Linked DNA regions of Arabidopsis thaliana. The protein of the gene in region 1 interacts with the protein of each later gene in a pairwise test. Each region holds a gene or a part of one and is shown on either strand. Other genes may lie near its edges.

The links.
Region 2: the proteins of HST (region 1) and RAN-1 interact in a two-hybrid assay, tested with the Arabidopsis thaliana proteins (one study listed by BioGRID).

What each region holds. Positions count from the first base shown.
Region 1 is NC_003074.8:1,402,206-1,410,227, forward strand, and holds the start of HST (ARM repeat superfamily protein), read right to left. Parts: upstream 6,086-8,022; 5' UTR 5,891-6,085; coding exon 5,780-5,890; intron 5,370-5,779; coding exon 5,268-5,369; intron 5,166-5,267; coding exon 5,022-5,165; intron 4,923-5,021; coding exon 4,842-4,922; intron 4,753-4,841; coding exon 4,683-4,752; intron 4,423-4,682; coding exon 4,352-4,422; intron 4,276-4,351; coding exon 4,112-4,275; intron 4,018-4,111; coding exon 3,946-4,017; intron 3,861-3,945; coding exon 3,623-3,860; intron 3,278-3,622; coding exon 3,215-3,277; intron 3,117-3,214; coding exon 2,829-3,116; intron 2,752-2,828; coding exon 2,638-2,751; intron 2,509-2,637; coding exon 2,382-2,508; intron 2,287-2,381; coding exon 2,117-2,286; intron 1,986-2,116; coding exon 1,884-1,985; intron 1,551-1,883; coding exon 1,447-1,550; intron 1,355-1,446; coding exon 1,069-1,354; intron 939-1,068; coding exon 697-938; intron 600-696; coding exon 96-599; intron 13-95; and 1 more. Other genes in the region: AT3G05050 (Protein kinase superfamily protein), read right to left, coding at 6,584-6,877, 6,959-7,076, 7,186-7,286, 7,473-7,709, 7,793-8,022. UniProt on the Arabidopsis thaliana protein: Nucleocytoplasmic transporter involved in the nuclear export of microRNAs (miRNAs). Required for several miRNAs accumulation. Specifically required for miR156 accumulation which targets SPL3, SPL4 and SPL5 transcription factors.
Region 2 is NC_003076.8:6,758,406-6,762,995, forward strand, and holds RAN-1 (RAS-related nuclear protein-1), read left to right. Parts: upstream 1-1,688; 5' UTR 1,689-1,958; coding exon 1,959-1,961; intron 1,962-2,112; coding exon 2,113-2,182; intron 2,183-2,404; coding exon 2,405-2,461; intron 2,462-2,548; coding exon 2,549-2,666; intron 2,667-2,924; coding exon 2,925-3,342; 3' UTR 3,343-3,925; downstream 3,926-4,590. Other genes in the region: AT5G20000 (AAA-type ATPase family protein), read left to right, coding at 264-420, 532-630, 815-925, 1,005-1,145; RAN2 (RAS-related GTP-binding nuclear protein 2), read left to right, coding at 4,412-4,414, 4,541-4,590. UniProt on the Arabidopsis thaliana protein: GTP-binding protein involved in nucleocytoplasmic transport. Required for the import of protein into the nucleus and also for RNA export. Involved in chromatin condensation and control of cell cycle.

The DNA.
Region 1 (8,022 bases):
TTCAAGAGGAAACTGCAATCCAATTTGTTTTTTCCCATTATTATCTATTTTATCCAAACAACTTTTAATCTGAAATATAGATGTAGTATACTTACCCCACCATAGAGTTGGATCTGAACGCATGCAAATCCGTGAGAGTGGACATGTCCACACGACCAACATGTCCTGAATGTTCCAAAACTGGAACTCCTGTGTTTAGTCCAGGAGAAGCCATTGTTGAAAAGAGAGTCGCAATCTCCCGAGTTAGATCTCTTAACAGTTTTTCCTCCATCACTTCAAGTTTCATGTCTGATCCACTTTGTATGCCAAACAAGTCCGGAACCTTTGCTCTGCCCTCTTGTAGAAGACCTGGCCAGGCGGAGCTGAGAGCTTGCTGACAGTGTATAAACAATGGGTGCAGAAGCACTCCCAGCCATGACTCCCACATATCCGCCGGACAAGATTTGACTATATAAGTTATAAAGGTATGAATAAACAGCCGAATGTGCCTGAATTCCATCGACTGCAAATTTTCCATGAGTGCCATTGCAACATAGTTAGCATCTAAGCATTTAAAGAATGTCTCTCCGATGGTTGTTGATAGGCCCAACACGTTGTATCTAAACATGTAAACAAACACTTATGAGTTTAGATAAATGAGAGAAAAATCAAATGATCAATGCAAGGCTTGCTCAAAGGAGGATACAACAAACTTACCCACAATCTCGGATACCTTTCAACCAATTTCGTATATCAGATTCACTTGCCTCGGCTTGTCCTTCCTTAGTTCCTTCGAATGACCCATCAGCATAAACCGATACGCCTTTTGACAATTTAGGATTTGCTTCACCAAGGAGACTGTATCGCTCAGCATCAGTCATTGTCATTGCCGCCCTCATTTCTGGGGGTAATGTTTGAAATACAGAGGGAGACCAAAGGGAATGAAGAACACGGAGTAGCTGTAGATGTAAAAAAATGAATGTTGTCATGTTATTCTTGCAAAAACGAAAACGAAAAAATCATCCCAATATGGCACTAAGGAACTTAATTATGAATTATACTAAGCATGTCCACATTTCCAGGCCATACTTTTAAGAGGGGTGGCAACATCCAAGAAAGATGATGAGCCATAGGATGTGAAGCTGGAGTTGTCGCAGAGGTCGTGTTCAAATTGCTTTTTCTGTATCCACTTCGCTTGAGTGCTTTCTCAAAGAATGTAACAGTGTGGTATATGGACCACATGAAGGATGTGTTGGAGCATAAACGAACAAGACCCATCGGGTCTGATAGATAATTGTTCTGCCACTCTGGTTGGATCCACTGTTGACTCAATGGTTCCAATAACCAAGCCAGAACTTCTTGCTGCTGTTGAGCTCTGCGCCAAGATTAGATTATATCTAAGAACATGACAAATCTGAAGCAGGAGATATGCAATATAGTAAACTTCATTTTTGAATCAAACATTACCCTGCTGAGGAAGCCATAACAAGAAATGCTTCACCCAGAATGTTATGCTCCCCACGGAGTAAAGTTCCTTCTTTTGCCAAGTACCCCATTGTATCAGCAATACCCTGCACAAAATTATGACAGTATGACAGTTGACATGACTTTTTTGTGCTATAGATTATCCAGAGAGGCCACTAAGAAAATGAAAAATAAGAATTCTGCCACCAAAATGATAAAGGTATCTTCCCCAGAGAGAAAGTAGCCATATAATGTCATAAATCATGATACTCGAGAGTATGATAAAGGTATCTTCCAGAGAGAAGGTAGCCATAAAATTGAGTGGTGGTATATCCATATATCACACCGCACAAGCTTAACTAAACATAAATTCTTCAAACAATTCTCCAACGTTTACTGATATGAGTTCCTAAATGTAGTTTGTGAGAGATCAAAGCTACCTTCATGTGAGGCAGAACACTTTTTTCTGCAGCTTTGGCTATTCTTATGAAAGATGTGCAAATCTGCAATCTTGCAGCTCTAGATGTACTAGTAGCTGGATCCTGCCAAAGAAACAAGCTATTAGATAACTCATCCACACCTTGACATGTGCAATGTCAAAAAGTTGAAAACGTCTTATTTGTATATACGAGCGCATGTATGTAAAATAAATACAAAAATAATAAAAATAAACCTTCACAACGTGTGGAAGAGAGGTGAGAAGCTCAAATAATTTATTGATGAGACTTCCAACTGCATCTGGAAAATACTTGAGAAAGGGACCCATTGCATCCAGATAGTGGACATGCACTTTCATAAGTTCTGGTTCATTCCATTTCAAAGAGAGAAGCTGCTGAAGCAATCCTGGGCCATCAACAGCACAATACCGAGTATTAGTATTGTACAAGCCCAGACATAGTAAACAAAACTTGAGAATGTGAATAAATGCTGCAATATACCCTCAAATATTCCACGTAATGCATAATGAACTTCAGAACTTCCACCAGCAAACTCATTTGATCCATCAAAAAGCGTTGCCACAATACAGTCAAGTGCTAATTGCTGGCTGTCCATCACTGCTACATGCTGAGAATGTTTTTACCATGAGTTTAAATAAGAACTGGATCATCAAAGAGGCCTCCATATAGCAGAAATCTAAGAGTGCATGTTTGTCAAAGGAAGTCAACAGAGGAAAACAAGTGCTCGAGACAAAACCTGAAGAGGAGCTGGAGAAGCCAATAGGTGCTTAATGAGTGTAATCACCCTTTCAGATATTTTGGTACTGGAGATGAGAGGCTTGTGAGAAGCAGTAAGCTTGATCAATTCTAGCTGCACGAAAGAAAGAAGTTTCTAGTTAAGTGTTTTTCTGGAAAGTAATACCCAATGCATTTGATTCAGGAACATACAAGCTTTGATCGGTACGGGCCAAAGTCTCCCTTCCCTTCAAATTCATCACTCCAGAGTTCTAGGGGCCCAAGCGAAAGAGCAATTCCAGTAGGAACTTTTTCTTTCTTGAGCATCCGCTGGAAAGATACGTCCAGTATAGCGCTCGAGATGTCATCATTAATAAGACTTAAAGTCTTTTTCTTTTCACTATCAACCTGGCTTGAACTATCATCACCGCCAGTTGATGATCCCCCACCACTTGGATAAGTCGCAGCCTTGGGTTTTGGAAGTAAATCCCGCATCAGTGACTAAAACCCAAAAGGAAAAAGACGCTGAAATTAGCAGCAAATATGTCTGTCTTAGAAATTTCCCAATGAAGAAGGTTGGATTAGAGAAGACCACATACCAGCCAAAAGAGAAGTGCCTCGAAGTGAAGGCCCAACTTGAAGTGTTGGAAAAAGCCAAGCATCTATACCAATACAAACGATTAAGGCAACATAAACACAACATGATTATTTTGTGGGGAAAAAACACTACTAATGCATAATATTATTGCTAACATGAATAGAACGATTTTAAAGTTATAATTGGCTTAGATCCCTCAAAATATATCAGCAAGCATTCAAAATTTAGTATACACTTGGAATCGGGTCATTCAAGAACTAAAATAATATCTCAAACTTATTCTGTTTCAGAATGCCATTGCAACACAGACAGCGGGTTTTTTTCCAATATAAATTAATAGCTCCACCTTCTTCACTGAAAACATCCATTTAAGTATCAAAATAACACATTAAAAATACGAGATCAGTACCTGCTGAAGATAAACAGCCATAACACCACCATCAGAAGAGATGCTTTGCAAGTTAGTTGAGCCTAAAGAGGCCATACTCTCACACATGCATACAGCAAAATCATAATCATTGTCATCTATAACGCTAGAACTTGAGGAGGATCTACATAAGAATTCTCTGGAGGCATTCGTCAGAATCTGAAACAAATTGCTAATTGCAGAATCGAACTCTGCAGTAGAAGCATCACTGGGTCTTTTTCTGCAGACAAGAAAAGCAAACAAAAATTAAAGCTGTCTATTCGTGCTCACGTAAGCACATCAGATCAAACAACCCAGTTGCATACCTTGAGCAGACGAGTTTGAAAACCTCACAAGCATGAAGACGGAAGTCAGAAGAAGAAAGTAAGAAGCTGCACCTGTTATGAGTATCCGAGCACGTCATCAGCAAGATATAATGCAGGGCTAATATCAATATAACAATCTTCTTAAGGGTGTGAACAAAAATCGTACCCACTAAGAATTCCATATCTGGCAAGATCTGGAACAGGAGCCCACTCAGTGTATGCAACGATGGCATTCAAGCAAGCTATAACTACATCTGCATGCTGTTTTGCCAAGTCAAAGTGCTGCATACCAGCTTCACTCATTGCAGCTCCAAAGTGTCTCTCAAGAAGCTGCATTTTTGGTATATTCAGCAAATTACCACAGCAACAAAACAACTTTACTGAAAGGAATTTATCGGTGGCATACATTATACAATAAAGGCAAAATCTCAGGCAACGATTGAGTAAGTCCCCGCAACAATAGCCTACGCCTGTCACCTGAAGAGATGTCCAATACAGAAGTTAGACAGGAGGATGAAAAGATTTATAACCCAAAAAGTGATATGCATTTTTGGATTGAGTATAACTAAACTGAAAAGCATAAGGTGAGCACAAAAAATTACAAGACTAACAAATATTAGCATACGGGTCTGTCCATAACCGATTCAATTTGGCTTAACCTAAACTTCAAGATTAGAAAAAGCTTCCCCCTGTGGACAGACTACTACGAAAATAAAGTGTATGCTAATCGTAAATACCTTCCAAGTCGTCATTGTAAATTGTAATATCTTCAGGAAGCCATCTAAGAGTCATCAATACCAATTCAGCCTATTGTTTAAGAAAAGAAGATGGGAACACTTTCAATGATTGCCGCGATAAATAAAACACTAAAGTAAATAAATGAAAGAACATTTTACTTGTAAGGGGCCCTGAGCAGACAATGAAGTTAATAAAGTAAATATCTCTTGCCAACGATCAGGGCCTTCTCTTCTAACAATCTGCAAATAAGATAAAGATATCAATCTGAGAAAGTGAACGGGAACAAGTAGCAATGATCATAGCAAGTGAAAAAAACTCGGACCAATTAGAACTCTTACCTCAGCTACAAGGGCAGCAGACTGACTCTTAAGAGGCCAATTCTCGCTTGCATTAGCAACCTCTGACATTAGTTCGATAGAAAGATTAACAAGACCCCTGCACTCCGGAGGACTTAATTCGTCCCATCGTAGTCTAACCAAATGCTGCAAAAGAAAGATAGCTTCACCATAAGGTTTCTTCTATGCTCTTGCCTTCAGAACCTAAAATTGTGATTTATAAGTAAAAGAAAATAAAAAATCACAAACCTGTAGCATCTTAAAAGCATGGAGACGAATTTCTGAAGACCACTCTTTTTTCACAAGATGAAAAGAAGTCTTTGCCAAAACCCTGACATCTCCAGATTTTACCTGCAAGTATTTTTCAAAGACCGCACATTACTCAATCAAACACCATCATAACAGTGCACCAACTTTCAACAGCTAATTGAACAAAATTAGGTTAAGATAATAAACAACTCTTCCGACAACACAGTTTTATCTTTCTGACCAAAAAGGTAGGAAATTTCCAATTAGAACCAACTCGAGCTCAATCAATCAATCAAATCAGACAAAAAAAAACGTTTGCGTATATGTTCCAAGAGATCAAATCATCGAAACGAATAAAAAGCTCAATTTTTTAATTAAACCCCAAAGTACAACAAATCCTCCTTTAAGCTTGATCACACCAGCTACATCATCATTATATGCAACATGCAACATAAGTACGCAAATCGATTACAGAAAACTAAAAGCGAGCAAATTGAGACAGAACAAATTACAGAATCCAGGAATTGGACCGCCGATTTGCGAGTGTCGGACGTGGAGCTGAAATCGACGACGGCGAGAATCGCTCGAGCCACATTACTTGCCGTGGAGTTGCTATCTTCCATTACTTGCGACGAATAATTACCAAAAGTAGAGATTCCCACACTTTCTTCTGCAACTCGTCTTGCAGAATCTCTGATTTGGCTTTGGGTTTTGGGGTTTAGAGCAAACGCATCGGTAGTTTCTTAATAGAAACTCTAACTATTAAAGACAAGAAAAACAAATAAAAATTAAAATAAAGATGAGAGAGAATCTCTAAAATTCCTAAATCAAAGATCGATCCTATAAATTCACATTAGTGGTTTGCATATATTAAATAAATAGAATATAATTATAAAATTAAAATATTATTATTTTTTGATTTTGTAGAAACTTTCACGATCCTAAGCGTTGGAGTTGCTCTTATGTCTCTAAATTAATAAGTTTTAGGTCTCTCTATATACGAAAGCTACGATTTTTATTGGCATCTATACCAATATACATATTTTCAATTTCAAAAACATTTATATTACGTCAACTCTTACAATAATGACGTAGGCTTCTAGAACAATAAATATAAGGATCAAATAAATAATTTACATAGAATGTAAATTAATTCCTCTCATTTCTGTGTTTTGTCAATTCTCTTGTACAATACACATAACAACCAAATAAAGAACATATAACCCACCAAAAAGATAAAATTTGGAATTTTGTTTTTTTCTCAATCTATCAAAAAGGAAACTTTTGAAATTTGGAGATGAATAATAATTATTATCTCAAACAACGATTCTTTTGCCTTTGACCTTAGAAGCCATTCTTCTCTCTTTGTTAATATCGTTTCTTCTCCTTGTGGTTGAGTCAGGTGCTCCAATGGGAGCCAAAGGGCCTGACCAAGTTTGAAATGGCTCTTTGGAGTATGATGATGTGAATGAGTTTGTGCTATACGGTATCTCTGATGGATCCAGTCGCCTTGAAGATCCCACCTGAAAACCGAGTGACCCGTCTTGATGCGGTGGAGGAAACTTCTCGCTCTTGCTCTTTGCATTCGCGTGTGTGATCATACGCATCCTCTGTTTTAAGAGAACAAGTTCAAAGTACTCAAGACATTAACCAATCAAAGATTCACTTCTTTTTTTGTTTTAAATTCTTACATCAATGTTAGACTGGTTCTCGGCGTTGGCTTCAGGAGCCGGCATTGCTCTTGGGGCTCGTTCTCGGGGTCTCATTCTTCTTCCGCTCTCTCCTTGGGCCTTGCGCGCTTCTCTTTGTCTGCAGAAATGAATACATCTCTCAAGCAACCATATACCAAACCAAAACATATTCTGACTAAAACTGAGATTGTACCAAACCTATCCATACTAGAACAGAAACGCTTTACCTCCGATACTCTTCGTCTCGTCTCTTGGCATCAATCTCTTTACTTGGAGGATATTTCGGGAGATCAGAAGGTTGACATGCCAATGGCTCCGTCGTGAAGAACTGCACAACAACAACAACAAAATCGGCCATGGAAGTTTTAACCACTATCAAGTCACACGCCTAAAGATTCACAAGTTCCAAGCATTTTTCATTCTTAGCGTCACTCTCATTTCTGTAATCTAACTTGATACCCCTAACTAGTTTGTTCTATTCAAAGTTTCAAAATTTCCATTGCAAAAAACTTACATCACTCATCAACACATCTGTAGCTGTCTGGCGTTCAGCTGGATCGAGCGCTAGAAGCGTATCGAGTAGAGAAAGCGCCTCAGGAGAGAAATCTTTGTAAACCTCTCTTATTCTTCTCTTATACTGTGGTAAAGGCTTGTGATGAGCATGCTTATGAGTAGAAGGAAGTCTAATCTTCTTCCAATATTCTTCTGAAGGCGATCCACATAACTTATATATCCTATGCAACTGCTCGACCTGCTCGTGAACATTAAGCCAGTTCACATTTCATATGAAATAACTCAAATCGGAAAGAAAAAGATCATTACTTGAGAACTAACCTCGTTACGACCTGGCATTATCGCTCTACCAGCTAATAACTCAGCTAAAATGCAACCAGCACTCCACAAATCAACTCCGACACTGTACTCAACAACACCATGAAGAAGCTCTGGTGATCTGTACCATAAAGTAACAACCCGATTCGTCATCTCTTGCCTCTTACTCGCATCAAAAAACGTTGCAAGCCCGAAATCACCTATTCTAAGAACTCCACCGTCATCTATAAGAA
Region 2 (4,590 bases), on another chromosome or scaffold:
CCCGTGCTTAGTAGCTGTAGTGGACATGTGGAGTAAAATAAATTGAGTAAATTGTTCTCTGTTCCTGCTATGAATATGGTTTCAACATGTATACGATCTCAAGCATAATGATCTTTACAAGTAGTCTCGATGCCTAGCATTTAGGCCACAGTAATAGTCTTTTGTAATGAGCAAAGTATACACCATTAATCATCTTCATTGTGCTGAAAAATACTTATTCCAGCTAGCTTACCTTTCTAGTACCTCTGGCTTATGGTTTTCAGGGAGCATGCACCATCAATCATCTTCATGGATGAAATCGATAGTATCGGGTCTGCTCGTATGGAATCTGGTAGTGGAAATGGTGACAGTGAGGTGCAAAGGACTATGCTTGAGCTTCTCAATCAACTTGACGGATTCGAGGCGTCAAACAAAATCAAGGTATGCCTTATGTTGTGAATGAAAAAATAGTCATGAAGCTGAAAAGGATAACTCTGTGTTACTCTGAATTTCGCAGACAAAGTTGTTAATTCTCTTAAATGACTGTTGCAGGTTTTGATGGCTACAAATCGTATTGATATTCTGGATCAAGCTCTTCTCCGGCCTGGAAGGATTGATAGGAAAATTGAATTTCCTAATCCTAATGAAGAGGTAATGCTTGTGTTTCTTAGGACATGATATTAGAAATAACTTTAAACTTGAAGTAGCAACTTTGCTCACTCCGTTGTTTTTGGTAAACTATCATTTACTGCGTAAAATACTTTTCTCCATACTTATTGTACCCAAAGTGAGGCAGGACGGTTTGGCTAATGTATATTTCTAATATGTGTTGCAGTCACGTTTTGATATCTTGAAGATACACTCAAGGAAAATGAATTTGATGCGTGGAATCGATCTGAAAAAGATTGCAGAGAAGATGAATGGTGCTTCAGGTGCTGAGCTGAAGGTAAGTGTTTCTCTGTCCCTGCTTCTGTCTTGTTCTCTCCAATCTGTCTCTCTCTAATGTTTTTGGTTATTACGGTCAGGCTGTATGCACGGAGGCGGGCATGTTTGCACTTCGTGAGAGGAGAGTACATGTGACTCAGGAAGACTTTGAGATGGCTGTGGCGAAGGTAATGAAGAAAGACACAGAGAAGAACATGTCTCTGCGTAAGCTCTGGAAGTAGGAATTTCAGAGTCACAGATTAATTTCGATTATTTCTTCTCTACTGTCTGTGGTTCTTTCTGAAACCTTTTCGGCTAGCGCTTTAAGCTTTTCTAAACAATGTTTGTACACTAGTTTCTATTCATTCAAATGGTTGTTCAGCATAACATCTTCGATTCAACCAAGCTTACATTTTACATCTTAAGAGTATATTCTTCTCCAACTCAGTCTCATTAGCTTAAAGAGAAAACCAACTAAAAGATTGTTTGAGACAAAATAATCGACATAGCTTTGTACCTGAGATCCACCGCTGAGGTCAATAGTGAGTGATTTGAATTTGGAGTGTACATTAATTTAGAAATTCAACCCATCTGGCATGTGTCAAGAATAATTTGAAAACTATCCGTTATGAACAATAAAAATCCTTATTGATGAATGGTGTCTATTATTAAAAATTGAGGTATAAATATGATAAAGAAAATAAATAATTTATTTTGTCAAAACCAACGCGTATATATTGTAATGAATTTAATTTCAAAATTTGCTAAATGTGAAAAAAGGAAAGAAAAATCAATGCCGATGAATGAGTACGCGTGGACCTAAAGCTAGAAAAAGATCCAACGGTGGAGAAAGCTGCGTTAAAATTGCAGAAGAACCAAAGAGAAAGAATCCAACGGCCAATAGTGTAGCGTCAACTCAAAGCCAAACCCTCCCAAATTTCTCTTTTAAAAACCCCAATCTCTCTCTCCCTCTCCATCTTCATTCTCCCTCTCGCCGCTTCCTTCTTAACACCATCGCCTGAATTCGCTCTCCTCTAGCTCGCGATTGCGAAAACATGGTACATGTTCTCTTCGATTTTACCGATTTCTTCTTCGTGTATTATCAGATTGTATACCTTGATCTAGGATTATCTCCGTCTCAGATCTCACGAGATTGCGTCGATGTTTCCATGTTCTAGTTTCTAATTTCGTCGTGGATATATTTTTCAGGCTCTACCTAACCAGCAAACCGTAGATTATCCCAGCTTCAAGCTTGTCATTGTTGGTGATGGAGGCACAGGTACGGTACTCTTCGCCGTGTTTTTTTTTATCGATTAATCAATGCTTGGATTTACGTTGATGGTGATTGGGGTGATAGAGATAGGCTCATATGCTAAGCAGATTTTGCTAGTCGACTCTTTATAATCCGTACTGTTGTATCCAGTGGCTCAATTGATTTCAAGTATGGTAATGTGTTTTGATTGTTTTGCTAAACCTTTGATTGCTTTTGGTGGTTGTGCAGGGAAGACTACTTTTGTTAAGAGACATCTTACTGGGGAGTTTGAGAAGAAGTATGAACGTAAGTATTGCTTGTGAATGTTCAGATTTCTGTTCTTCATGTCTCTTAAATGATTCTGATTTTGAGTCGTAATCTTGTTTGTTGCAGCTACTATTGGTGTGGAGGTTCATCCATTAGATTTCTTCACAAACTGTGGCAAGATCCGTTTTTACTGCTGGGACACTGCTGGACAAGAGAAATTTGGTGGCCTTAGGGATGGATACTAGTAAGTGTGGACCCTTTACTTTCTCATTGATAGGTTAGTGTCTAGAGTCAATCTAGAGTGTGCTTAGTTTGGATTAGCTCTGGTTAGGATTTGAAATTGGCAACCGATTAACCTGGACAATGGGTATAAGACTGGTATGTTTTGAAGTATGCATAGTTTGCAACTGATTTTGTTACCTGGACAAATAGAGTAGAACTTGAATTTTAATTTTGATATTCCATCTGGATGTATAGCTAATCATCTTTGAATTTCTTGCAGCATCCATGGTCAATGTGCTATAATAATGTTTGACGTCACAGCACGGCTCACATACAAGAATGTTCCGACATGGCACCGTGATCTCTGCAGGGTGTGTGAAAACATCCCGATTGTTCTGTGTGGGAACAAAGTTGATGTGAAGAACAGGCAAGTGAAGGCAAAGCAGGTTACATTCCACAGGAAGAAGAATCTGCAGTACTATGAGATATCAGCAAAGAGCAACTACAACTTTGAGAAGCCTTTCTTGTACCTTGCTAGAAAACTGGCTGGAGACCAAAACCTTCACTTTGTGGAGACACCAGCGCTTGCTCCACCAGAGGTTCACATTGACATTGCTGATCAGCAGAAGAACGAGGCCGAGCTCTTACAGGCTGCAGCTCAACCCCTCCCCGATGACGATGATGATATCTTTGAGTAAATCATCCTTCTAGAATGTCTGCCGTGGGAAGCTCTTGCTTGTTCCTTTTGGTTTTCTCTATGTTGTTTTGGTGTTACATATAAATCAATCGGTCTTTCTTATAACAAAAATTAGGTATGTATTTTTGGATGGTTCTTCTGATGGTATCCAAAGCTAAGTTGTTTCTTCGCAAGAATATTAGTTGATTGGAAAACTTTATTCTACCTCCTATTACTTGCCAGTTCTTAGATTTCAGATGCCACTCTTTAGCTACCAGGTGATGTCATATAAACCTGGGTAAAATTAGCTGCAAGTAGATCTTGTTGGGAGACCTGACCTGCATTGACAATGGTTAAGTTCTTTGCCTTCCCCGATCTCTCTAGCTTTGCAGATTCTTCTGCAATCCTCTTCCTTTTCTTCTTTGAAACTTGATCTTCTTAATCAATCCGCACCAGAACTTGTAGAATAATAATCGGATAACTTTTTGTTTGGCAACCATTCTTGCATTGAAGAATGAAGTAACCCTTTCCCTCAAATCAACGACCGATTTCAATCCGTGATTCCAGACATTTTCTTCAACCGTGAGCTCTAAGACCAATTTCTGCAAGTTTGAGCTTAAGAATTTATCGATGTGTATATTAATTTCTGGAAATATTGTTGGTATTAATATGTTACCATTAAATTTGAAAGGCATCATTAGATGGATGTCATGTGAGTGAGTACTTGAAATTTTGAAACTATCCGTTACGGACAATAAATCCTTATTTAAATGATTTGTTAGTAAAAAACTATGCTACAAATAAAATCAAAACTTCACATACGATACAGGAAATAAATATATTATTTATTTTGTCAAAACTCAAAACCAGGACCTAAAGCTGAAAAAAAAAAGATCCAACGGTGCAGAAAGCTGCGTAGATATTGGAGAGCCAAAAGATGGAATCTAACGGTGGAAAAAATAGCGTCAAACCTAAGCCAAAACCTCCCAAAATTCTCCTTATTAAAACCCCATCTCTCTCCCTAGTCCCTCTCGCCGCATCGCTTCTTAAACCTCGACGACATCAACGTCTGACTTCGCTTCTCCTCTCACATGGTGAACATTCTCTTCTCTTTTCCCGATTTCTTCGTCTTGTAGTATTTAGATCTCACGAGATCGCTTAATTTCGTTGATGTTTCTTTTTTCGGATTTTACTGAATTTTGTTGTGATATCTTGTTCAGGCTCTACCTAACCAACAAACCGTAGATTATCCTAGCTTCAAGCTCGTCAT